Linked DNA regions of Xenopus tropicalis. The main gene of each other region encodes a partner of the protein of the gene in region 3 in a complex. Links are inferred from orthologs where the notes say so. Each region holds a gene or a part of one and is shown on either strand. Other genes may lie near its edges.

Region 1 (6,074 bases), about 39 Mb from region 3:
AATCCACAAAATTTGTAATGGCTATGAAAAAAGCCGCGACAATTCGCGCAAGTCGTAACGGTTACGAAAAAGTTGCGACAATTTACGAAGAAGTCATAACGACGATGAAAAAAATCACAAACAATACAAAAAAGTCGCAAAATGTTCGTTTTCCAATCTGAATTTTTCTCATTCGGATTCGTGGATTAGTAAATCAGCCCCTTAGTGAAGCATGGTGGTGGCAGCATCATGCTTTGGGGCTGTTTTTCTTCAGCTGGAACTGGGGCCTTAGTTAAGATAGAGGGATTTATGAACAGTTCCAAATACCAGTCAATATTGGCACAAAACCTTCAGGCTTCTGCTAGAAACGACCCAAAGCATACATCCAAATCAACAAAGGAATGACTTCATTGGAAGAAGATTAAAGTTTTGGAATGGCCCAACCAGAGCCCAGACTTGAATCCGATTGAAAATCTGTGGAATGATCTGAAGAGGGCTGTGCCCAGGAGATGCCCTCGCAATCTGACAGATTTGGAGTGTTTCTGCAAAGAAAAGTGGGCAAATCTTGCAAAGTAAAAATGTGCCATGCTGATAGACTCATACCCAAAAAGGCTGAGTGCTGTAATAAAATCAAAAGGTGCTTCAACAAAGTATTAGTTTAAGGGTGTGCACACTTGTGCAACCACATTATTTTAGTTTTTTTGGTTTTCTTCCCTCCACCTAAAAGATTTCAGTTTGTTTTTCAATTGAGTGGTACAGTTTATAGGTCACATTAAAGGTGGAATAAGTTCTGAAATGATTTATCTTTGTCTCATTTTTGTACAGCACAGGAACCTGACATTTTACCAGGGGTGTGTAGATTTTTATATCCACTGTACTTTTCCCTGCTTTCTGCCAGGAGCACAGGCTTAAACTGTGCATGGACCAAGTCACTCAAGAGCTGGGAAAAGGACTTCGAATGGCCAGAGATGGTGGCTCTGCTTTTTATTATCAAGTATAAGCAAACAATAAAGTACTGGGATTCCTGTATCCATGGCTGAAAGACACAGCAGTCAGCACCCAAGTAGCTATTAATTACCAAGGAAATAAAAGTTAAGAATCACTGTTTGTACCTGTAAAAAACTGGATGTGTTTGTAGGAAAAACCACAACATGCCTTTAAAGAAACAATATGTTCAACATGAGCAAATGAAGTAAGGCTTGTGTTAAAAATGATAATAAACAGAATACATTTTTTTTTTTTTTTTGAATATAGGACTAAAGGATTACAGGTTTTTTTTACCATTACTATGTCCCCTTCACCCCTGCCAGTGTCTCAGGTTTACAGATAAGGACAATTTAATTATGCATGGGTTTAATAGCAGCTGCTGATTAACTATACCTTAACCGCATAAGCCCATTTGAATGAAGTCTTTTAATAAACCCTTTAAAAATTATAATGATGTTGTTTTTAGTTTTCAACGGAGAGCAAAGTCCTTTTCAGATAAAAGGTATCAGAAATGCTGAACCCTACCTGTGAAATGAAAGCCATTTCACATTGTCACATAAGACCACACCGGATGTCATGAGCAGCTCTGCAAAGGTTAGGGTGTCTATGCCTTCCTCTTCGTGCTTTTGGAACTGAAGCCCAGAATTCGCCAACAAGTCAATAGAATCCTGAGAATACATATCCTCACTGTAACAGAAGCCATACACAAAATGTTACTTTTTTCATTTACAGCAAATTTTCTGCATTATATCCTTTTTGGACTGAAATCACTTCAGTGATTAGCCTGCAAAGGAGTCTTATATCTATCTGTATTCATAAGGGTGGGTGCAGTAGTATGACCCTAACAAGGCAGCCACCTAAAATACCTCTAATACCCAAAATATCATAGTAATGTAAAGTGTCTGCTCAGCCTTGACAAGCAATACATTTACACAATTTTGCATTTAAAAGCGCTTGGGTAAAAGAAAATGTTTTTCTAAACCCATGTTTTATCAGTTAAAAAAACAAAACAAAAAAACAAAAAAGAGCAATTCAATGAATCCCAAAGCTAAACAGCAAGGCTTGGCCCAATTTTCAGCCAGACATCAATTGGGGAGGCCTCTTGGAGGACTCCATACATGGACAGATAATCTGTTGAATCAGTCTGAAGGACCCGAATCAGCAGCTTGAATTTGTCCATGTATGGACACCTTTACAGTGAAGACATATGGAGCTACTAGTAGCAGCTACTTTTCAGGGCTACGGAAATAGACAATGCTGATCATTTACCAATAATTGTCTTTACATGTGTTTTACCAGAGGCAATTCTCAGTATTGTCTATGGCAGGGTATTACCTAGCATTTAGTAGCCATGACAAGTAGCTGCTACTACTGTGTCTTCACAAATCACTGAATGGGAACTAAATTATTACTTGACTTTTAAAGACAAATCTAATACATTTTGGTGTTATTCCAAGGAACAGGGCCAAAGTGATAGTGGAATGAAAGTTATAAAGGTGTATATATGTTATTATTAACAGCGGTTAATAGCTGGGGTTGCCATATTTGTTAAAATAGATACCAGCCTTTATATATGTTGCCTTTTATCCTATTTATAACATTGGCATTAAGTATAAATCATACAGGGCAGGTGGCAACCCTTACAACAACAATTTACTTGCAATACATAGGAAATGGGTGTATAGCACCATAATAGCAAAGTTCTTAGCAGACAATGACCCACAGTTGTTAAAGCATGGAAAAGGACAAACATACGTGAGGTTAAACTTGAAGTTGAATTGCCATGTGTTGATCCCAGGTGGATACTCCCCCTTTTCATTCATAAAAGTAAGCCCAAGCTGAATGATTTTCAGAAGGTCAACATTACAGCGCAATAGTTGGTACTGATAATCTATTGTGCTCCGGAATTCACCGATGGGCCGCACCACAACTCCAGGAAACTCTGTGTCCTAAGAAAACACATGTAAAAATAAAAATATGAACACTGAATTTAACAGTAGGCTTATAAAATTAATTAAATGAGTCACTGTAAACAAATACCCCTGACTTTGTTGGTCTATTGTAGATATTAAGATAAGGCTTTTACTGCTGTTTGAAAATGTTATCCTCCCTGCATTTAGCCTTGTCCCTATATTAATTCTAAAGCTGTCAGATATACAAATCCCAGTATAGCTGAATAGGTGCAGATCTGGACAAGACGGTATTTTTTTAATGAAATTTTTATATAATTTGTTCATAAATTTGTTAAAGGGGGGTTTTGTACTGTTTCAGTGTTTGCAGATGAGAAAACTATGCAGCCCAATTCATTCCATCCAGGGCGTGGCATCCTTGCAGCAAGATGTTGACAAACTGACAATCTGGGCGGCTGAATGTGGATAAATGTAAGGTCATGCATCTGGGATGTAAAAATATGCAGCCACTTATACCCTTAATGGGACTGCACTAGGCAAATCCATAAAGGACCTAGAGAAAGTCCAAAGTAGGTCAACTAAGCTGGTAACAAGTATGGGAAGTCTCAGTTATGATGAAAGCCTAACCAAGTTGAAATTGTTTATACTGGATAAGAGGGGGATATGATAACTATGTACAGGTATGGGTTCCATTATCTGGAAACTAAATATACAGAAAGCTTTAAATGATGGGAAGGCCATCTCCCATAGACTCCATATTAATCAAAAAATTCTAATATATCAAAACTATTTCATTTTTCTTTGCAATAATAAAACAGTACCTTGTATTTGATCCCAAGATTTAATTCATTCTCAATCCTATTGAGTTGATTTAATATTTTTAGTAGACTTAAGGTATAGAGATCCAAACCATGGAAAGATCCCATATTTGGAAAACCCCAGGTCCCATATAATAAACTCTCTAATGATTATTTACCAGGAAGTCCTTTTAGCAGACACAAGGGCATTCATTCAGATTAGAATAAAGGAGGTGCCATTTTAATATTGAAAAGGGGTTTTAAAGTAAAAGTTGTGAAGTTTGTGGAATTCTCTCCTTGAAGTGGTTACATGGCTGATACATTAGACAGCTTAAAGAAGGGGATGGATGACTTTTTAGCAAGTGAGAGAATACAGGTTTTAGTCAAAGTTGATCCATGAACTGGTCTCCATCTTGGAGTCAGAAAAGAATTTTTCCCCTCTGGGCATATTGGAAAGGCTTCAGTATGGTTTTTTTTTTGCCTTTTTACAACTAGCAGTTAGGCAGATTTTATATATAAATAAAAGGTTGAGCTAAATGAATGTACTTTTTTAACCTAAGTTACTCTGTTACTATTGTAGGGCAAGGTCTAATATCATTCTGGAGGGCCGCAGCTATGTGTAGGCCTTTCCACCGGCAATTCCTTTTGTTGCCGGTAAAAAGGGCATTTTGGAGAGATTAGTCGCCTGCGGAAACAGAGATTTATCACGGGCGGCTAATCTCTCTGTGGGACATTAGTGCTACATTTAATATTAACACATCTGTAAACTGCAAACTTATTTGGCAGCACTGTACAATAGTACAAACAGTGAGTTTATACAATGAATAAGCTTACAAATGTACCCAAGTTCAATATAAATCCAATAAATAGGGCTCTAAATACATTGTGGCACATTGACCTTTACACTCGATCCTACCTACTAAGATCTTCAGAGCAGCTGTGGAAAGGGGTAGTTACCACCTGTACCAGTTAAACTCCTGTATAGAGAACAAACTCCTTCTCTTAGCATATTACATAGGCAGCATTGTGGGATAGGGTGGGGTTAAATTATACATATGTTGTTATTTTCCTTTATATCTCTATAACTCTCTTGATTATATTTTTGTATTAAAGGAATGTGCACAATGCATTTTTGACACAAGCCCTACTTATACTTAAAACAGACTTAAGGCTTATGATCACAGACACTACTTGTGCACAAAAAAGAGTGAAGGTCCACATACACGGCCCGACTGTAGGCCATGTAGGGGCAGAAACAACGGTCGGGCAGGTTAAAAGATTTAGTCGGACCGGGGACCGCCATTATAATTCAATCATTTGGCCCCAGGGATCAAATTAGCCTACATGTTCCCCGATATCTCCCCCCCCGTAGGTGGGGATATCAGGTGAAGATCCGCTTGCTTGGCGACATCGCCAAGCGAGCAAATCTTCACGTGTATGGGCACCTTTAGTCAGAGTCAACCAGCAATCCTGATGAATCCCAATAGGCCTGTCAAAAGCCAAAACCCTATACATCTCAATTGCAACTGGGATAAGGGGGTAATATAATAATATACCCACGCAGACAAAGTGTCAGTTTAATGTAGACTTACCATTGCTATGTAGCCATAAGTGCGAACAAGCTCTCTAATTTTATGCATCTCCTCCTCCAAGTTGACAGCCCACACCTCACATATCACTTGGCTATTATCTACCACTGCTGCAGGCATCTTGAATTCAGAAAGGTGGCCAGTGAGATGTGTGGTACAGACAGAAAATCAAGCAGTGTTTTCCCCAGACAGAGGTGATGTCTCTTACCTAAAAATTTTAAAATATATACTTTAAGGTTAACTTGCAGAAACCCAAACATATTAAGAATTTGCAATCAAAAGACATATTAAACAATTATAGGTAAGGGAAAGGCAACACTGGGAAACACTACCCTGTTAGCCTTGCGGATGGTGAATACAGGGAAATGTTCTCCTGCCACCATTTGCCTTGCCTTGTATATTAGTATTCTAACACCTGGCAGTATTTATAGTAATACAGTTCATGAAACTGCTACACCACTATAAGTATATTACATATCCATCAGGTGAGTTAGCTGCCTGGGCACATAGATTATTCATCCCATTTGGTCCATTTTTCAACTTCACAATGGTTAGGGTGTGTGGAGTTAATGCAATAAAATATTTAGTTTAATCAGTCAGTTGGCCAAAGCAGAACTCCAGCATCTTTTAAGTAGTAATTTGGCTGATCAGCCACAATTAGGACATCCTTGTTTAACCCCTTTAGATCAGCAACAGAAAAAAGCCTCAGTCGTTTAGATCGCAGATTACTACAATTCACTAAGAAGCTCAAAACTTGGTTGTAGGGGGGCTGCAGTCCAGAACATTTTTTACAATAGAGAAATGCCGGACTG
Region 2 (6,074 bases), on a different chromosome or scaffold from region 3:
ACGCAAGGGCTCAGTGAGTCCAGCAATGGGCTCCTTATTTTGTTAAATTTATATGGAGCTCCTCTTGCATTGTGTCAGTTTATAAAAGAATGTTTGTTTGTTTGTTTACTAAGGCTTTCCATCTGGTAAGAATCAGCCCAGTAAGGCCCATCCATGTCATTGCAACCAGCTTCTTGGTATAGAATAATGAGCAGTAGTGAATGAGTGTGAATTAGGTAACAAATTATCTGCAATGGACAAACTCTTGACGCAAAAGATTTGGTAGTGCTAGTTCATGATCAGGAACTAGAGTACTTTTGCCAATACCTTTGGACAGAGGGACATTTCAAGATAACATGCATAAAAGTTCCATTGTCAGTGATTGTAATACTTAAAAGTAACAGGAAGTCTTGTTTATGTGATTCCTCTTTATATTATAGTTATTGTTCTTGTAATGCTGGGTAGGTAAAGTAATATTTCTTATAAAAGATACCAGTATTTGTGTTTATATGTATTTTATATTTCTTCCTTTATCATTTTGCTTGATGGTGCAAATAAATGTGGAAATCAATATACAACATATGTGTTATATATCTATTGGTTTTACAGGATTTCTGCCTCCAATTACTCCACCAGAAAAATTTTTCCTCTCACAGTTGATGTTGGCACCACCAAGGGAGCTATTTAAAAAGACACCCAGGCAGATTGCTGTGATGGATGTGACCAGTTTGGCTCAACCAGTGGACATTAGTGGACTACAGTTAGCTCTTGCTGGTAAGGCATTCGAAAACATTCAGATGAACATATTGGGGCTAAAGCTGTCTCATAAAGGCTCAACATGTTAACAAACATATGCTGAGCATTACTTTTGCCATTATAAAGCAGTAATTCCCCACTCTCCACTATAAACAGGGTATTTGTTCAGTGAGAGATAATTTTCTGGGGTTTCTGGATAAGAGATTATGTAATTCGAATCACTATACCTTACATCTGCTAATAATCATTTAAACTTAAGTCAAGTAAACTTAAGTAGAATTTTTTTGCTGCTCCTTTAGTACAAGGTACTGTTTTATTGCTGAGAAAAAGGAAATCATTTTTAAAAATTAGAGTGATTGTTTTTTGTTTTTTTTATTTTAAAGCTTACTTTGTTGTATCTGCTGACTTTCTATTTCCCTCCAGAGCGCCAGTCTGAGCTCCCAACACAGAGCAAAGCCAGCTTTCCCAGTATTCTTAGTGACCCAGACCCAGATTCTTCCAATTCCGGCTTTGACAGTTCTGTTGCATCGCAAATAATAGAAGCATTAGTCAGCGGCCCAAAACCACCAATTGAAAGTACGTTTTGTTTTATTGTTTGTATATGTGTCTAAAACCAAGGTTTTATATTTAGTTAAGTAGTTAAATATACATACATTTTGAAAAACTACTGTAAGAAGTGTATTGAAATGTCTTATTAGTTTGCTTCAAAAACCGTATCCGTCACACTTTATGGCCAAGATTCAAGCTATCTTTATAAAAGACCTTATTAATAAAAGTGGTCACAGATCCTATCCAGTATCCATAATGTACAGCACTGCAGGATTTGACTAGCATTTAGTATAGTTATCTTATGAAGACCTGATATCTTTATATCTGTCCTTTGCTAATTATGAATTGCACACAAATAAAGTTGCAATATTAAAAATTGCTGATACTCACACACAGTGTATCTGAACCTGTCTTTGTGATGTTTCTAGGCCACTTTCGCCCAGAATTTATCCGTCCCCCACCTCCTCTTCATGTTTGTGAGGATGAGTTAGCCTGGCTCAATCTTATAGAACCAGATCATGCCATTAAATGGGACCGATCCATGTGTGTAAAGAACAGCACTGGAGTGGAAATTAAGCGGATTATGGCTAAAGCATTCAAAAGCCCACTTTCCTCTCCTCAGCAAACTCAGGTAAAGAGTAATAAAGTACACAGTATTACCATGATAATATACACCAGATGAGTTAAACTAAGATTACGATTAACCAGTTTTTTTTTCTTCTTATATTCCTTTTGCTAGCTTCTTGGAGAATTAGAAAAAGACCCTAAGTTAGTTTACCACATTGGCCTCACTCCTGCCAAGCTCCCAGATTTGGTAGAAAATAATCCGTTGGTTGCTATTGAAATGCTGCTCAAGTTAATGCAATCAAGTCAAATAACAGAATATTTCTCTGTGCTTGTCAACATGGATATGTCTTTACATTCAATGGAAGTTGTAAATAGGTGAGTCTTTGTTTATTTCTTTTTCTAATAAAATATTTTGCAGGCACAGAACATGGTGAATTGAATATAGTAAGCCTCCAAGGAAATCTGCAAAAAAAACCAATAAACCGAGGGGGCAGATTTTTTAGAGGCTGGACACAAAAACACCTGCTTCTTATCACCAGAAGGGGGCATAAAATATATTTTTTTCACAATACAGTACTTTTTAAAGCATTTTCTTAAAAGATGCAAAACCATTTTTATAAAGTAAGATTTCCCATATATGTACACTTTTTTTGGTTCAAAGAATAGAATGAAATGTACCTGCTTAAAGCTAAATTATTTTATTAGCAGAGATGATTAAGAAAGGTAAATAACCAAGATTGTTAATAAGTATGAGACTTTGTCAGCCTCTGTTAAATCTGCCACTCACTGAACCATTAAGGGCTCTGGCACACGGGGAGATTAGTCGCCCGCAACAAAACTCCCTGTTCACGGGCAACTAATCTCCCCGGATTGCCATCCCACTGGCGAAAATGTAAATCGCCAGTGGGATGGCATACGCAGCGGCGCAAGTTGCTTCGAGAGGAAACATGTGCAATTTCAGTGAAATTGCGCCGCCGTGTATACCATCCCACCGGCGATTTACATTTTCGCCGGTGGGATGGCATTTCGGGGAGGTTAGTCGCCCAAGACACGGGAGATTTGTCGCGGGCGACTAATCTCCCCGTGTGCCAGAGCCCTAAGAAGTCATTCATGTTCATTTACATCTGCTGACAAATATACTGACCTGCAACTCTGAATTAATTTTTTCTTTTGTTGCTTGGTTCATTATAAATTCATTAACTAATGCACATTGAGCATGGGATTCCACACCAATTTATGATATCAAAGGTGTGTTGCTTTCTATATATTTTACTCCTGCTGTGTTTCGTTTTGTCTTAATGCTTTCACCTCAATTCTTAAGCTGGCCTCACACGTGGCGATTTTCGATCCAACCCTCCACTGACGTTCAGCGCTGAATCGTCAGATATGGAGGTAGAAACAATAGGATTTCTACCTCCAGCCCTGAACATAGATTTTGCTCGGGCACAAAATCTTTTAACCCACCTGATCGGCAAGTCGTCCAATATCTGCAGCTTTTTTGCAATATCGGTTGCCTTGTTGAGTTGCCATACATGCACCGAATATCGTACGAAACGAGGTTTCGTACAATATTATCGGTGCGTGTATGCCCAGCGTTAGACAGGATTGCTTTTCCTGATCTCATAGGCCTAGTTCTGATACTTTATAACCTAAATGTGCACCACAGAATTAAGTGCCGTAAGCTTGTTGGGTGGTTTTTCTTTTGCATTATATCTGCTTTTACACTCTACTTTGTGTATACATTTTATTCAAACCAGCCTTTTTAGCTGTGTTTAGTAAAACAAAGAATGTGCATGGGTGCCATAAATTGAAAGTAAAGTTTTGTGTAAATACAATCAAATAAAAACATTTACCAGGGCCCCTTAAATGTATGCTGGTTAGAGTTCATGGACAAAGTTAAATACCAAGTATAAAGTGCATGCTGCTGCTGTATAACAGTATGGTTCAGTGTATATGTAAAAATGTAAATACCTTAATGAAGTATAAATATTTAATATCTAAATCATGTTGTCATTGCTTAAATTTTTTTACAGTGCAATTTAAGATTGAAATGTATTTTGTTGCTATTATTGTTGTGTATCCCAACGCTGTTTAGCTTTAGTGTACCCAGAACTTGAGCTTCTAGTGCGGCCAATCTCCTTTTTCTTGTACTTTCTACCTTGAGGTGGCACACAATACAGTACTCTACGATGAGTAGGGAGACCTGCGGAGAAACCCATGAGTTAAATAGTAGGGAAGCAGCCTATCATCTATATGGTCTTGTTCCTTAATCTGTTTTGTTTTTTATAAACTGTTTTTCTTCTTTTAAGACTTACAACAGCAGTGGATCTTCCTCCTGAGTTCATTCACCTTTACATTTCAAATTGTATATCCACATGTGAGCAGATTAAGGACAAGTATATGCAGGTAAGAAACATGCAAAACATGATACTATCCATTCAGTTAAAGGCTATTTGATTTCTTATCCAGAAGATGGAAAGACAGTTTAGTGCTTTTTTAATGGTGACTAGCGCTTTGAAAAGTCCCAGCAGGCATAGCTCAGGGGTGAGTACTGGGAATGGTTTTGCTGCAAGGGATGTCATCCTCTCCATTAAAAAGCGATTAGATTAAAACTCTCATAATAAATGGAAAATGGAGATATCCAGCTATGGATATATTTACTAGCCTGATTTTTATGATGTAATCTGGGACACTCTTTCATTAACCACATCAATTTGCCCCTGCATGCACCATGAGTGGGCTCCAATTGGGGGGTGCAGCACATGATTCGGGACATTCCTAATAAATTCTATTGTTTTCCCCGTTTTTGTGATAGATTTTTAATGGTGTACTTCCTGGCATAGTCAAAAGAAAAAAATAGCAATAGGGCCTGTGATGTTGCCCATAGAAACCAATCAGATCTTTTCTGTTGTTTTCTAACTTGTAGGTGACTGTCTAATTGGCTGGTTTGTCTCTGTTAATAAAAATGCCCCCAAATGTAAAGAAATAGGGGCTCACATATCAAATTTTACAAGATTCCTGTACGTTTTAATAGAGGCTTGAATTGATAGGGCAGTTCAAAAGAACCTTTAGATATTGTTTAATCTCCTAGGATTAGTTATTCTAAACCAGCCAAAACAACAGCTGTTTGTGTCAAATGTCACTAAAGGCTACTGGCAGTGATTTTTTTGTTCATATATATATATTTATTGATCCGTATTTTCTGTATTGTACTTTTGTTTAGACACTTAACGTTAAAACATTAATCACATCCTGCTTTTCTTTGCATTATGACTAAAGGTCTTATGTGTTAGTTAAAGTATGAATTGCCCTGTATGCCAGGTGCTCCAGTAGTTTTGCATAGCTACTAAAACTTATAAAAAAAGAGGCAAACAGTTTATTTGCAGAGAATTAAAAATGAGTCCTTTGTAAAGGGAATTGGTCATTATTTTGCAACTGAAGAAGAGGGAAATGGTTACGTAAAACTAGTTGCTACAGAAGAAAGGGGAAAACAACCAAACATGGGTGTGCTGTGCTCTTATTTGACCTTTTTGATATATAATACTGTGTGGCCTCTTGTATATGGACACCACTTATAATTAGTGGAATTGATTAAGCTATGCCCATCATTGCTGACACAGGTGCCACTTGACAGTTCTTATGGCTTTTTGGTGCTAGTTTGGGGAAGTCTCTATTTGAGCAGGATTAAGCCCCCGTTTTAGAATATGTTGGACAGGCAGGTGTCCACCTACATTTGGCATTATAATGTATGTATGTTTTCCCTCCTTCCTTCTGAAACATTATCATGACTTCCTAATCAGATATTTCTTATTTTTATCTGATGTTTCTTAACATTTGGATTTTAGAGCTCTGGATTGACATTATTTCTGTGCTGACTTCCCAAGTACATGTATTTGATGCTGATGTTGACAATATTGTGTGTTTCATTTGCTGTAAACTCCAAATGTATTGTGTGGGGAGAGCTACAATTCATGTCATAGCTTTTCATGTATTAACATGCTAATGTATTTATTTTTTTGTTCATCTGTTACAGAATCGTTTGGTGCGATTAGTTTGTGTTTTCCTCCAGTCCTTGATTAGAAACAAGATAATCAACGTCCAGGACTTGTTTATAGAGGTGCAAGCTTTCTGTATAGAGTTCAGCAGGATCCGGGAAGCAGCCGGCTTGTTCAGGTTGTTAAAAACTTTGGACACTGGAGAAAACCCTTCAGAGGCAAAGCCTT
Region 3 (6,074 bases):
TATTGAAATGCATTAAAATGTAATAGAGCATGAAACAATACTGACCTTGTCCCTAATATGAATATTTGTTAAATACTCCGAGGGGACATGGAAATCTGAACACATGGGAATAAAAACATTTATTAGAAATGTAGAAATCCTGCAATTTTTTTATTATACATGCAAGTGAATAACTTTTTTTTAATTTTATTTTAATCATACCAATGTCTTGAGGCCGACAGGGTGAAGATGCCCACGGTGACGCAAATTTTGGATATAGATTTCTGGGTGCAAAATTAAAACAAATAAACTTGAGGTGTTTGTTCAAAAAATAAGGTTTACGCTATAAACCCATGCAAATGTTGTAAAGACAGGTAAATTTTTTTGCATCTGTAAAATATACCCTAGAAATATGGTAACCAGAATTCTATATGAAAAAGTCATAGCGATTTCTCCCATTTATGACACACCGTAGCCTCTATAATCCCCCCCAAAAAAAACAAGTACACTTTGATTCATTAAATAAATCATTTCGGGTTGGTCATGGTTTGTTTATATTTTTCCAACCCCCTCCTGAGATTTGCAGTCCCCTTTATGGTAAAAAAGGAGACACAGTATAAGTGTTTTTGATTAGTTCCCATTCAGTCTCAATCCCAATGCCACACTGAGAATTAAAAACATACAGGCAGATTAACTAGCTCCTGATAAAAGTGACCCTGTTGGGTACTTATTTATTTACCTACAGTAGGAACCTTATGGTTATGAATTTATATGACTGTATGGTTTGTCTGTATAGTTGTGCTATATATAATGGTGCTATAGAAATGTGGGATAACAATATTATTAAAAAAACAGGGAATTCGTTAACAGGCTAACTAAATAGGGAGGTGAGGGAATGCCACTAATTTGATGTATTAAATGAAGAAGTGTTTAAACCTTTTTTTCAATAGTTGGCCTGCCATAGTTTTAGCAGTGCCACTTGGTCATTATTGTTTGAGTCCCGCCAGTTAAAACCATGGTAGACGCCAGTGTTATAAATATTGAAGAAAAATTAGAAATACTGGCTCTCATTACAGAAAAAGTGCCAACCCTACCTGCAAGCAGAATTACGCCCTACAAGAGATATTTTTGACAGCCTAACACTTCCACAGACTTCATTTATCACATCTTCATTCTATGGTATATTTTGTTCAATCAACTCACTACATAAGAAAAAATATCCCTCTTTAATTAAAAACTAAACATGCTTACAAATAAATAAACTGTCATTAAAAATGCCTTATGCAATCTAAAATACAATGTAGAACACTTCAGTTTACAACTGAAATGCAGTTGGAAAGATGATGCACTTCCTCTGCCAGATACACGCAAGCTCTCTTCTCTCTCCTGCTCCCCCCTCCCTCAAGAATGCTAAGAACTCCCTCCCCCTCATAGGAAAGTGCGATCTGAGCCAATCAGCAGGAAGCTTCCTCATAGTCTTACTAACTGAGCATGTACACTAGTCTTGGTCTTGGTGCAGGAGCAAGGCATTATGGGAACTTTTTTTTTACACAGAGCTCAGCATTTTTTTTTCCTATAGGCTTCTGATCATCTGAACAGGAGAAATATGGGGAGACTTAAGGGCACTATTGAGAGAACTGAAGGTATGCCTGCAGCTTGAGATTAACTCTTTATTAGCCTTTCCTTCTCCTTTAACACAGTCTCACTTTTACTGTAGCTGATAATATTGGCTGAAAGATACTAATACAGGGAGGGATATAATAACAATATCTGCAAGACTGACATTTAGTTTAAGCATAGATCTAAAAACAGTGTGCAATGTATTCCTGTTCTGCAGCTAAAGAAACATGCTTCACTGAGGGGAAAAAAAACAAGCAAACAGAAAAACTATTAATAAAAACAACAGACAATACAACATTGTGATTGGTTGAACAGTAAGAGCTCTTAAGTCAACAGGCCAATCAATCATATACTGTATAGGTTGGGCCCATGTATGGCTGCCTTCAGACCATGCATCTAAGCATTGTAAGGAATAGGATTGTAGGAATAGAACAGCAGGTGAACAAATTAGAAAGGTGCTTCAAGCTGATTGCTCACCTTTCTAGTTAGTTCGGTTAAAGCCTCTCACGGCTTCCCTAGTAAGGATATTAATAGTCTTTTCATATCTAGAGGATCTTCTTGTCCTGCAAGTCTACTGCCATGCTATGCAGGTATTTAGAATCACAATCATAACACAAGACAGGGAATGCAGTCTTCAAAACACTAGATCATACATTACAGGGTTATCAGTGAATACGATGCTAACACAACTTTATTCAGCATGACAACTTTGATGACAGCTACAGAAATCTGTACTCATTGGTGTCACTTACTCAGGAGAATTCAGATTGAGGCCTAGTGTTGTCAAGTCATTTCCTAATGCAAGATGTACCATTCCTGGATCTGTTTCTGCTGCCCTGATGAATGTTAACAAGCCAATCATGCCAAACTGATCTGTTACCATGCCTTGAGGAATGTTGGTAACTCGCCCTTGACAAAAACATGAAAAAAAAATGAGTGCTCCAAAGTGATTATAAAATAAATTTACTTAATACAGGTTACACAATACTTACCATCTGGCAAAACCTGAATGCCTTTTTTCTGCTGGTTGTTGTTTTGCGTTGTGGAACTTTTGTCTCCAGGGAATTTGGGCCCATCTGTACTTGAGGCAGACTTTCCTGGTGTATTTAAATTCTATACAAAGCAAATATATAGGTTTGGTTTTATTCATAATAAAATAAGCACTATAATGTGCATCCAAAACAAACTGGCTATCAATGCTCTTTAAATGCAGCTGATATGCTCAATGTTTCCAAATCAATCAATTCTGTGATTCAGGCATGTTAGGAAATACTGTATGTGTGTGTTCTTTTTATATCAATTTTCATTGATAAATTAAAAACTAAAGATACATTCCACTTAGAGCAAGGTAAAAACAAATCACCAGTCCAGTAAATATACACCAACCTTTCCCTTGCACCAGCTACAGCCTGTTATCTTTTTAGATAAAGAATATTTCATTGTAGAAACTTCTTAGTGGACTGATTTGTTTTGATCTTGCTCGGCAGGAGAGGATGTCGAATTTTAAGATCAACTACAAGGTACAGTTTATCATTACAGTGTAAAATGAAATAATTTAAAACAACTGGAATTGCTTTTGACTGTATGGGAGATGACATTCCCATAAATCAGAGCTTTATAGATAATGGGTTTTGGGATAAATACCACAAATGCAGAGAAATGTTAATTACAAAAAAGAAATCTAATGAGGATATGTAATATCAACCTCAAAAAATATATATTGTTAGAGGTAATCATTTACCTGGTTTCAAGTCTAGAGATACATTGTTTTGTTACGAAAGAAAACAAATAGTAGAATTGTAAAACAGTTGAAATATACTGATAACTACTTGCAGCTAATAAATGTACTTACAGATTTGCTATCATCATTGCTTGATGTTGGATCTTTATAGCTGGAACCCGGTAATGCAGGGAAATCCTCGTTATGTATTGAGAAGTCTTGAGACTGCTCACTTGCTGGTTTTGTAACCATTCCAACTGCAAAAGATAAATAACAATAGGTTTCGTTTTTATTGACCATTCCCCGAAAGGCCTATGTGCCAGGTTTTGTCTGCTTTGCTTTTAACACCTAGAAAACTACTGCCCATTGCTGAATCCTACTGTGATAGTTGGGAATTGCTTGAAAGCCAGAGAACATCACCTGAAGCTAAGTTTAAATTCCAAAAAGGCCAGCCTTTACCAGTATCAACCCACAAACTAGTCAGATAACACAAGTCCCCTAGTACAAAAATAATTTAAAAGTATAAGGCTGATTTTTGGCAGGCAGAAATAAGCAGTCTGGGAATCAGTCCCTACCCTATCATCAGCCTTTTACTTTTCCTGCACCTGGAACCATGGGGTTGGCCCGGCTGCAGGCACACGCGACAGGTATCAGCTCTAAAATGTTGCGTTTGTTTGCCAATATCTGCTGTGTGTCTCTGCACCCAGGCCTAAGACATAATAGCAACAAACATGTTAAACTACAAGAAAACTGAAGGAACACAGTCTAAAATTTGAAAACACATCTCATATGCTTCAATGATAAAGAGTATGATTCAAATAGCATATATAAACATAGAAAAGAACCATTTATTTTTTTGGGGGGGAAATCTGTGCATACTAGTGATGTAAGCAACATTATTTGTAGATCAGGTCATTTTTACCTTAAATTAAGTGTTTATAGTTTACAGTGGGCATAAAAAAAATGTTCTTTTATATATCAGCTTTTACGTAAAGACACCATATAGTCTGTTGTGTAATACTACATTATTAGAACAGCACCTCTAATACTACACAAACAATAATATATAGTATTGTTCCATCAAAGTACACAAAAATAGTCATATTAATTGGGTTTTTAAGTATCACATTTTAAGACTTTTTACACATTTAAACACACTGTACCTTAACAGTCACACCACCCTGTACTCTAACTTTATTGCAGTGAAACAGTGTGGAGTTGCACTTTCAATAGCATGTTATAAACTAGTTGGAATAGTGAAACTGATTTATTAAATACTGAGGGAATCCAGAAGGATCCACTACTGTTTGATTTGTTTTGGACTCATCAAACTGGCAGGATGGTTTATCAAAGCTGGTACCTGTGTCAATTCACTAGAAACTACAGTATTGCTTTAAGCTATCATTTCCAATGAGTATTGGTGCACAGCATTGTTTCTGAGCTGTGCTGTATACATTCTAATGCTATTCAAAATCCTTACTGATCAATGCACACTGCATGCAGTAAAAAGGATTTGGAAAATTCTCCACATTGAAATAAAATAACATCCAGCTGTCTGACAGGTATAATGTATAACAATATATAGAATTTTAATTTTTTCTTGTTACTGGTCCTTTTCAAACATAAAAGTCTCACCGTAAGGAGCCCTTCCGGCTAATGGATTTATTAACGGAGTAGGGTTGCCGCTACCTTCCCTTCGATTTCTATCTGCTAATGCTGGAAAATCTGAGAGGTCCAGTCCAGTCACATTTTCACTTCCATCTAAAAGAAAACAGCAATTGTTTATATATATTTATATATATATATGTGTATATCGGTCCTCACCTCGGACCTTTATCCTATATAGAGAGAGAAAAAGAGACAGAATGAAAGAGAGAAAACACCATGGCGATTATAACACCACTCCCGGTAGATTTCCATTCTACTGAATAAAAAACAGCTGCTCCATGGCACATACTAAATAGGCATCAGCTGCCTCATGGCAAACTGTTATGGAATTAAGCACGTTTTGCTAGTCTGCACTAAAGAGAGACAGCAGCTTACAGAAATCTCAGAGGGCCACAGGGAAGTCTATTCCATTTACAATAAGAATTAACAACTGGTGTTTATAGAGTGACTGCAACTTTTCCTTCAGTAAAATAAAACATCTGTTCCTGGACTAAATTACTTGACACAGCACATGCTTATCCCAGTTGTAACTTTACTACTTGTCTAGTACCCACAGCACTGATTAACGGGTAGCATTTAATGTTCAGCGTTTTAAAACAAACACCTGATTGGTTGCTATGGGTTACTAAATGGGGGAAAACTTAATATAGTGTATTACATTAAACTGTAAAAAAAAAAAAAAAAAAAAAAAATGAAAAGTTTGTCTAAAAGATAACATACCTGTTCCATTAAATATGTTATTCGATAAGGAATTGTTCAAACCAAAAGCCTGATTCCTGCTCATTCCAAACCCAGACATGCTGTGGGATCAAAGAAACAGAGTGGTGAGTTTAGGGACTAACAGCAATAACACATTTTTTTGTATTATTCTTCTAAAGAAATACTTCTGTGTGTTTTTTTTTTCTTTAAAATACTTCATTTTGGATAATTGTACACAAACCTCACTGTGATTACTGTGTTAAATATTATAACAAAGAACAACTTTTTTCTCTTTCAACAGAATTCAAAATATACATTTTTGTTTTTTTGCTGCCAACAGTGTTATGAACCAGAAAACTATTTAAAAACTATTAAAGGAACCCAATGT
Region 4 (6,074 bases), on a different chromosome or scaffold from region 3:
TGGCTGCTGGTCTGCTGTAGAAACCAAAACCAAAACCAAACTAATGAGTAATATTTAGCTAAAAGAATTTTAGAAGAAAAGTACCCAGATTTCCACCATGGTTTACAAAATAAGGCCAGTGCATTTTAGTCTCACCCACCTTGAGATTTTTGCAGCTTTTCATCAGGTATTTGACATCGTATATCACTGGGAAAAACAGGCGCAGGATTTCAAAAAAGTCTAGTTCTACCTCAGGCAGGTTTGAATTTGTCAGAATTTTTATTAGGTAGCCAAAGTCATAGCCACTGCAATGGGAAGGGGTACAGAAAAGATCAGGAAAAAAGGAACACATTTACAGTCACAGACAAGTTTGGCTTATGTGTATTAATGCATGTATGCTTTTAATCATCAGATGTCCCTTTTTAAATTCTACATAGGCAAATAACATTTGCAGTACCAGTCATGGAACTCCAAAGTGACTTTATTTTAGAACAGGGGGTACATTGTTTATTATATTTATAGTGAGTCATGTGACAGAAATTACAACAATTATAACTGCTATAATCAATTATAAGGATATAATTCACTGGGAATTCATGGCTCTTGCGTATTATATCAAGATAATGTTGATAATATTATTAAATGTTCAGCCTAGCTCATTACAAACATACAGTGCAATGTGACATAACACATTATGAATAGAGGGCATTGCTCTATAGTAGAAAGGGTAAGCAACTATGGTAAAACAATGACCTGACAAAGACCGTCTCATTGTTCTGATTGCACAGAGTGCGCCAAATCCTGTGTAGAAAAGAACAACACTGCAATAAAAGAACTGCTGAGGAAAGCAGCAGACTAAAAAAATACAGGATCTCTAGTGGAAACTTCCAGAATAGAGATGATGCTTCCCAACATAATTTACTGGAGGAAGAGCATTGCTTCTCTTGCTTGTATTGAGATGACAGAGGTATACTTGGATAGAATAGCCCTCTAGTAAATTGTAACAAGAAGAAATCACATGGCAATGTAAAGGTTCATTGCCAAAAGCAGAGTGCTTTTAAACATGGAACTGCCAGGTGATTTCTAATATCCTCATATTATACATAGTCATATAGTTGAATGCAAAAGTTTAGGCACCCCTTGCCAAATGACATTTAGTTAGGCAGTGTGTTAAAAGACAACATATATGCAAATGTTGACACATAGTTCCATTACATTTCACTTTAAAAACATAGGAACACAGGAAGTTTGGACACACACACACACACACACACACACGCGTTGTTCAAAGGTTAATAGTAAGGCAGCAGCATCCCCTTAATCACTTAGGATTCCTTCTCCTCCTCTAAGCCACTTCCCCCTCCTGTAGGTATTTGCTCTGGCTCTTGGCTTACTGAGCATGCTCAGTTCTTCTCAACTCAGGTTACCAAACACACCCTCCAGTCTAGCAGCCAATGAAGAGATGGCACTTTGCTGGAGAAACATGTTTTTTTTTTCTTCTAACCTCCTGTCCTGAGCTCAGTTTAACTGTTTAAAGCAGGACTTTTTATCAGTAAGTTCTGCCTATGTAAGCCTGCATTTTTCATTGCATGAACTTTACAGTCTACATGTGCTGTTTGCAGATGTAAATGTCCCAGATGATGTCAGAGAGAAAATGGCCATCTGGTGAAAGCTGCTATTTGTTTTATGAAAATGTGATGGTTCTGGAAAAGAGGGAATATATGCAGTTCAAATGATGCAGTGGGGGTGGGAAAAAAGAGCCCAACTTAAAAACATGGTAGAAAAATGTAAGGGTTCACATGTCTTTTAGTTCTTGTTTTAGGGACTTTTGCCCACTCTAAGCAATGACATCAGTTAGCTGATTATACAGATATAATTTACAGGATATTCATAAAACTTGTGTATTATATAGTAAATAATGTACCTTTGGCCTTATGCTTTTATACAGGTCATGGAACTCCAAGGTGACTTCTAATATCCTCATATTTTACAAAAGGGGGTGCTTTATTTATTACAATACACAGGTTTCAGTGAGTCATGTAACAAAAATGACTTCACTAAGCACCAATTATAACTGATGTCAACACTAAGCACTGTTTATTAAGGATATAATTTACAGGATATTAATGGCCATTTAATATTACAGTGTAACTTACCTGTGAAAGGAAAGCCATTTTACTCCTTCACAAAGGACTACCCCAGACGTCATAAATAACTCTGCAAAATATTGGGTTTCAATGCCTTCTTCCTCATGCTTTTTAAACTGGATCCCGGAGGATGTGAGCAGCTCTATAGAATCTTGGGCGTACATGTCTTCCCTGCAGAAGAGACCATAGAAAGTCTCCTATACAGAGATCTGATACAAGATTTCACAGACTCAATTTACCAATATACAGCAAATGTACATTAACAAAATTAATAGGACTAAGTGCATCTGTTATGATGGTGTCCTCACCTTCCTAGTTTAAATGTAATTTTATTGCCACAACAAATATTTAGTAAGAACATTAATCCCATCTCTGAAATATTATTATCTCTGCTACAATATTGACCATAGCAAACAGATACAGCTTTAGGAACAGCAGAGTTGGACTTGGTAATGCAGCAAATAATATATGCCTTTGTCAGTCTAAAATGCATATATAATCAATATTATTCTTATATTTTGCTAGTTATAGGAAATCATTTTAAAAACGACTTATAAACAAAGGGCATTTCCTATTTAAATAAGCCAGTTTCCATTCCATGTTGCTATAAGTATCTGGTTATAGAAAGAACTCAAAGTGAAAACAAGCATAAACACAGCATAAACATATCTATAAAAATATTTGTTTTCCGTAGTGGCTCCAAAACGTTTCTTTTTAGCTTTTTATTATAGTTACACTATATTTCTGTTAAAATAGCGCATAAAGTTTGCTTTTGGGGAATAATGGATTGGTTGCTGTACTGCTTTCCATAAGCAGAAACCTTATGCAGGTCGTGTTATCCTCCCTATATCTCCTGCTTGCTTCTAGATGTTGGCTAATCTAGTTGCCCTTTAAACTAGAGGTAGTAATTGGGGCTGGGGCTGCAAGTTTCCGGCTGAGACTATGGTAAACTCACATGAAATCACAGAACAGAGGCTTGCACCCACTGCAGGACATACTGATATGCATTCTAGCAATCAATACTTTTTACATTATCTTCAACTATTAGTAAATGTATGCTTGTAGGTAACTAGATAACTACAACATTAATTTAAAAAATGAAATATTTTAAGCTATTTAATTAATATAACTTTTTGCCACTACTTCTATTAATTCTAATAAATATAGATAATCTGTGCAACTTACGTTAAATTAAATTTAAAATTAAATTGCCACGTTGAGGTTCCTGGTGGGTATTCTCCTTGTTCATTCACAAACGTCAGACCCAATTGTATTATCTTTAACAGGTCAACATTACAACGAAGAAGTTGGTATTGATAGTCAGCATTGCTTCGGAATTCCCCTATTGGTCTTGCAACAACTCCTGGAAACTCTGTGTCCTGCAATGGATAATGCGACAAATAATTTGCAACCTTTAAAGGTGGTTGTAAGGATGTGCTCATCAAAACAGTAGCACTTGGAAAAATAATGTTTAAGATACCTCTGAATAATTTGGAACAGTGTGTCGAAATAAGAGATATCTTTAAACAAAATACATATATTTACTTTTTATGCCTTCTTATCGTCAGATTTGTCCAGTTAACATGTCCAGTTAATCTTGTCCCCTGCATTTCCTTATGCGCTTTGTACTTCCGCCCTGTCAAGAAAGTTGCCTAATCTTGTTTTATAGCTTAGCTTTCACAGACAGCAATAGCTATGGCAGTATTAGAGATTCCACATTATATTTTCTACTATAATAATATAGGTAGGACAAATATTGAAATGATCTTGTTATAATATACAGTTTGGTCATTTCCCTATGGGACTAAGCTGTACATTATATCCTTATAAACGGTGCTAAGTGATGTCCTCAGTTAAAATCATAGTTTAGTGATGTAACTTCTGTCATATGACTCACTATAACTTATATATTATAATAAAGTACCCCGTGTTGTAAAATATGAGGATATTAGAAGTCACCTCAGAGTTCCATGACCTGTTTAAGAGCACACGGCCTTGTGCTTTTATATGGTTATGGAACTCCTCTGTGACTTATAATATCCCTATATTTTACAATAATAGGTACTTTATTCACTATATATGTGTTGCTGCGTCTACATAATTTATTAGATAGCATCTGTACACTTTTACAGGCAACTCTCATCTAGCAAACTCTGACACAAACTATCATCAGTTGATTTCAATAAAACTCTGTGGAAATTTTGTCTTCAAGTTTTTGGGCTACTTAAAGGAGAACTATACACCTGGGTGCAAAACACACCATTAACTATCACTGCCTAGACCCCCTCACCTTTCACTTATCGCATAGTTTTTAAGTTTATACTCTGTCCCTATCACTAACTAAAAATGCAAAGAAGCGCAGCCGCGTACCTGGCCGACATTTTCTTACCAACTGAAGACACTTTGGGTCTCACCGCCGATACGAACCTGCTTGCGCATGAGTAGTTGTAGGTAGCAGGAAATCTGCTTCAACTGCGCATTCTCAAGCAGGTTAGGTGTCGGCTGTGAGACCCAAAGAGTCTTCAGTCGGTAAGATGTTGGCGAGGTACGCGGTTGCGCTTGTCTGCATTTTTAGCTAGCAGTCAGCAATAGGGACAGAGTGTAAACTTGAAAACAATGCGATATGGGAGAGGTGGGGGGGGGGTCTAGGCAAAGAGTGCCATCCGGAAGTAAAGTTCTCCTTTAAAAATATGTTAATCAAAGTCCCTGAAACAGCACCGTGTGCCACTATTCTAAGAGTTTTAGTTGCTACCTAGCCTACCCAATGGCAGGCACCTTACCAGACCATGGCCACCATACACCTTTAGCAGTTGAGCCCATGGATCTTTACTATCATAAAGCTGCTACAATTAGCTTAGAATAGAAAATACAGCATTTCTAGCCATATTCTTTTTTTTTAGGCTTTAGTTCTACTTAGAAATATCTTTAACAAATAAGTGCAGTAAGCAGCCTGACTTGTTTCTACACACTAGAAAAATTATAACTGCAATATAAACCGAACCCATTGTACTGGACAAAAAAAATATTAATATTTTAATGTAAACAAGTACTTATATTGCATATTAAAGTAAATTAATTATTCTATTATTGTTATGTCACACGAAACATTGGGCCATTAGAGTCTATAGTTGATATAATATTACCCTGACAGCGGAAGCAGTGTGGCAGATACTGCAAGCAAGGATTGCTTATAAACAGTAAATAGGTTCCCCTTTGAGGAGACTCAAAAATCTATAAAATCTTAAATATTCCTGAACTCTTAATGCCAATTTCAAAAATGAAAAACATTTTTGGAGGGGAAACAAACATCCTAAACATACCATTGCAACATAATTATACTTGCGTATAACTTGGCGGATTCTCTTCATTTGATCATCCAGGTTGCAAGCCCAGACTTCGCAAATTCGCTGGCTGAGGTCCACTGTTGCAGCTGGCATAGTGGGTCTGGGGGACTGACTCAGAGGCAGGCATCAAAATTTTGCAATTAGCTATTAAAGGGTTTCATAGGTGGTAGGCCGAGGCCGAAATCAGCTGCTAAATCTAAAATTAAAAGAAGAATAGTTTTTATTTTACTAACAAATAAAAAATAATATACCGGTATAATACTAGCAGGCAGAACATATCAGGAAATGCCAAGAAAGGGGAAAGGTGGCCCATGTGCATGCCACCACCTTTTGAACAATATGCACTTTGTGCAATACATTTTATATTAGGAATGGGGATCCTCTGACTATGGAGTGTGTTTGGTCCATGACATTACCCAAAAATTGATTTTTGTATTTTGCCCATATATGGTGATCCATTGTTAATATGAGTTAGGGGAAGTTGTGGTTGAAGCACAAAAGTGTATAAATAGAATATTTCTTCTCTCTACCCATGGTAATAGTTGTAAAGCCATCTTTTAAGTCAACACTGTGGCTTCTTTAGGGAGTAGCATAATTCTATTTT

The links. The genes of interacting proteins can lie anywhere in the genome.
Region 1: cnot2 (region 3) and cnot8 share a complex: the UniProt entries of both Homo sapiens proteins name them as parts of the CCR4-NOT complex. The link is inferred for Xenopus tropicalis from reciprocal best matches to the Homo sapiens genes CNOT2 and CNOT8.
Region 2: cnot2 (region 3) and cnot11 share a complex: the UniProt entries of both Homo sapiens proteins name them as parts of the CCR4-NOT complex. The link is inferred for Xenopus tropicalis from reciprocal best matches to the Homo sapiens genes CNOT2 and CNOT11.
Region 4: cnot2 (region 3) and cnot7 share a complex: the UniProt entries of both Homo sapiens proteins name them as parts of the CCR4-NOT complex. The link is inferred for Xenopus tropicalis from reciprocal best matches to the Homo sapiens genes CNOT2 and CNOT7.

Annotation. Positions count from the first base shown.
Region 1 is NC_030679.2:19,858,141-19,864,214, reverse strand, and holds part of cnot8 (CCR4-NOT transcription complex subunit 8), read right to left. Parts: intron 5,471-6,074; 5' UTR 5,383-5,470; coding exon 5,266-5,382; intron 2,916-5,265; coding exon 2,722-2,915; intron 1,654-2,721; coding exon 1,492-1,653; intron 1-1,491. UniProt on the Homo sapiens protein: Has 3'-5' poly(A) exoribonuclease activity for synthetic poly(A) RNA substrate. Its function seems to be partially redundant with that of CNOT7.
Region 2 is NC_030678.2:110,383,154-110,389,227, forward strand, and holds part of cnot11 (CCR4-NOT transcription complex subunit 11), read left to right. Parts: intron 1-588; coding exon 589-753; intron 754-1,158; coding exon 1,159-1,311; intron 1,312-1,712; coding exon 1,713-1,915; intron 1,916-2,023; coding exon 2,024-2,226; intron 2,227-4,160; coding exon 4,161-4,257; intron 4,258-5,884; coding exon 5,885-6,074. UniProt on the Homo sapiens protein: Component of the CCR4-NOT complex which is one of the major cellular mRNA deadenylases and is linked to various cellular processes including bulk mRNA degradation, miRNA-mediated repression, translational repression during translational initiation and general transcription regulation.
Region 3 is NC_030679.2:59,346,437-59,352,510, reverse strand, and holds part of cnot2 (CCR4-NOT transcription complex subunit 2), read right to left. Parts: intron 5,788-6,074; coding exon 5,708-5,787; intron 5,081-5,707; coding exon 4,955-5,080; intron 3,577-4,954; coding exon 3,452-3,576; intron 2,713-3,451; coding exon 2,592-2,712; intron 2,509-2,591; coding exon 2,352-2,508; intron 264-2,351; coding exon 202-263; intron 96-201; coding exon 46-95; intron 1-45. UniProt on the Homo sapiens protein: Component of the CCR4-NOT complex which is one of the major cellular mRNA deadenylases and is linked to various cellular processes including bulk mRNA degradation, miRNA-mediated repression, translational repression during translational initiation and general transcription regulation.
Region 4 is NC_030677.2:42,295,506-42,301,579, forward strand, and holds part of cnot7 (CCR4-NOT transcription complex subunit 7), read right to left. Parts: intron 5,667-6,074; 5' UTR 5,564-5,666; coding exon 5,447-5,563; intron 3,506-5,446; coding exon 3,312-3,505; intron 2,298-3,311; coding exon 2,136-2,297; intron 285-2,135; coding exon 140-284; intron 1-139. UniProt on the Homo sapiens protein: Has 3'-5' poly(A) exoribonuclease activity for synthetic poly(A) RNA substrate. Its function seems to be partially redundant with that of CNOT8.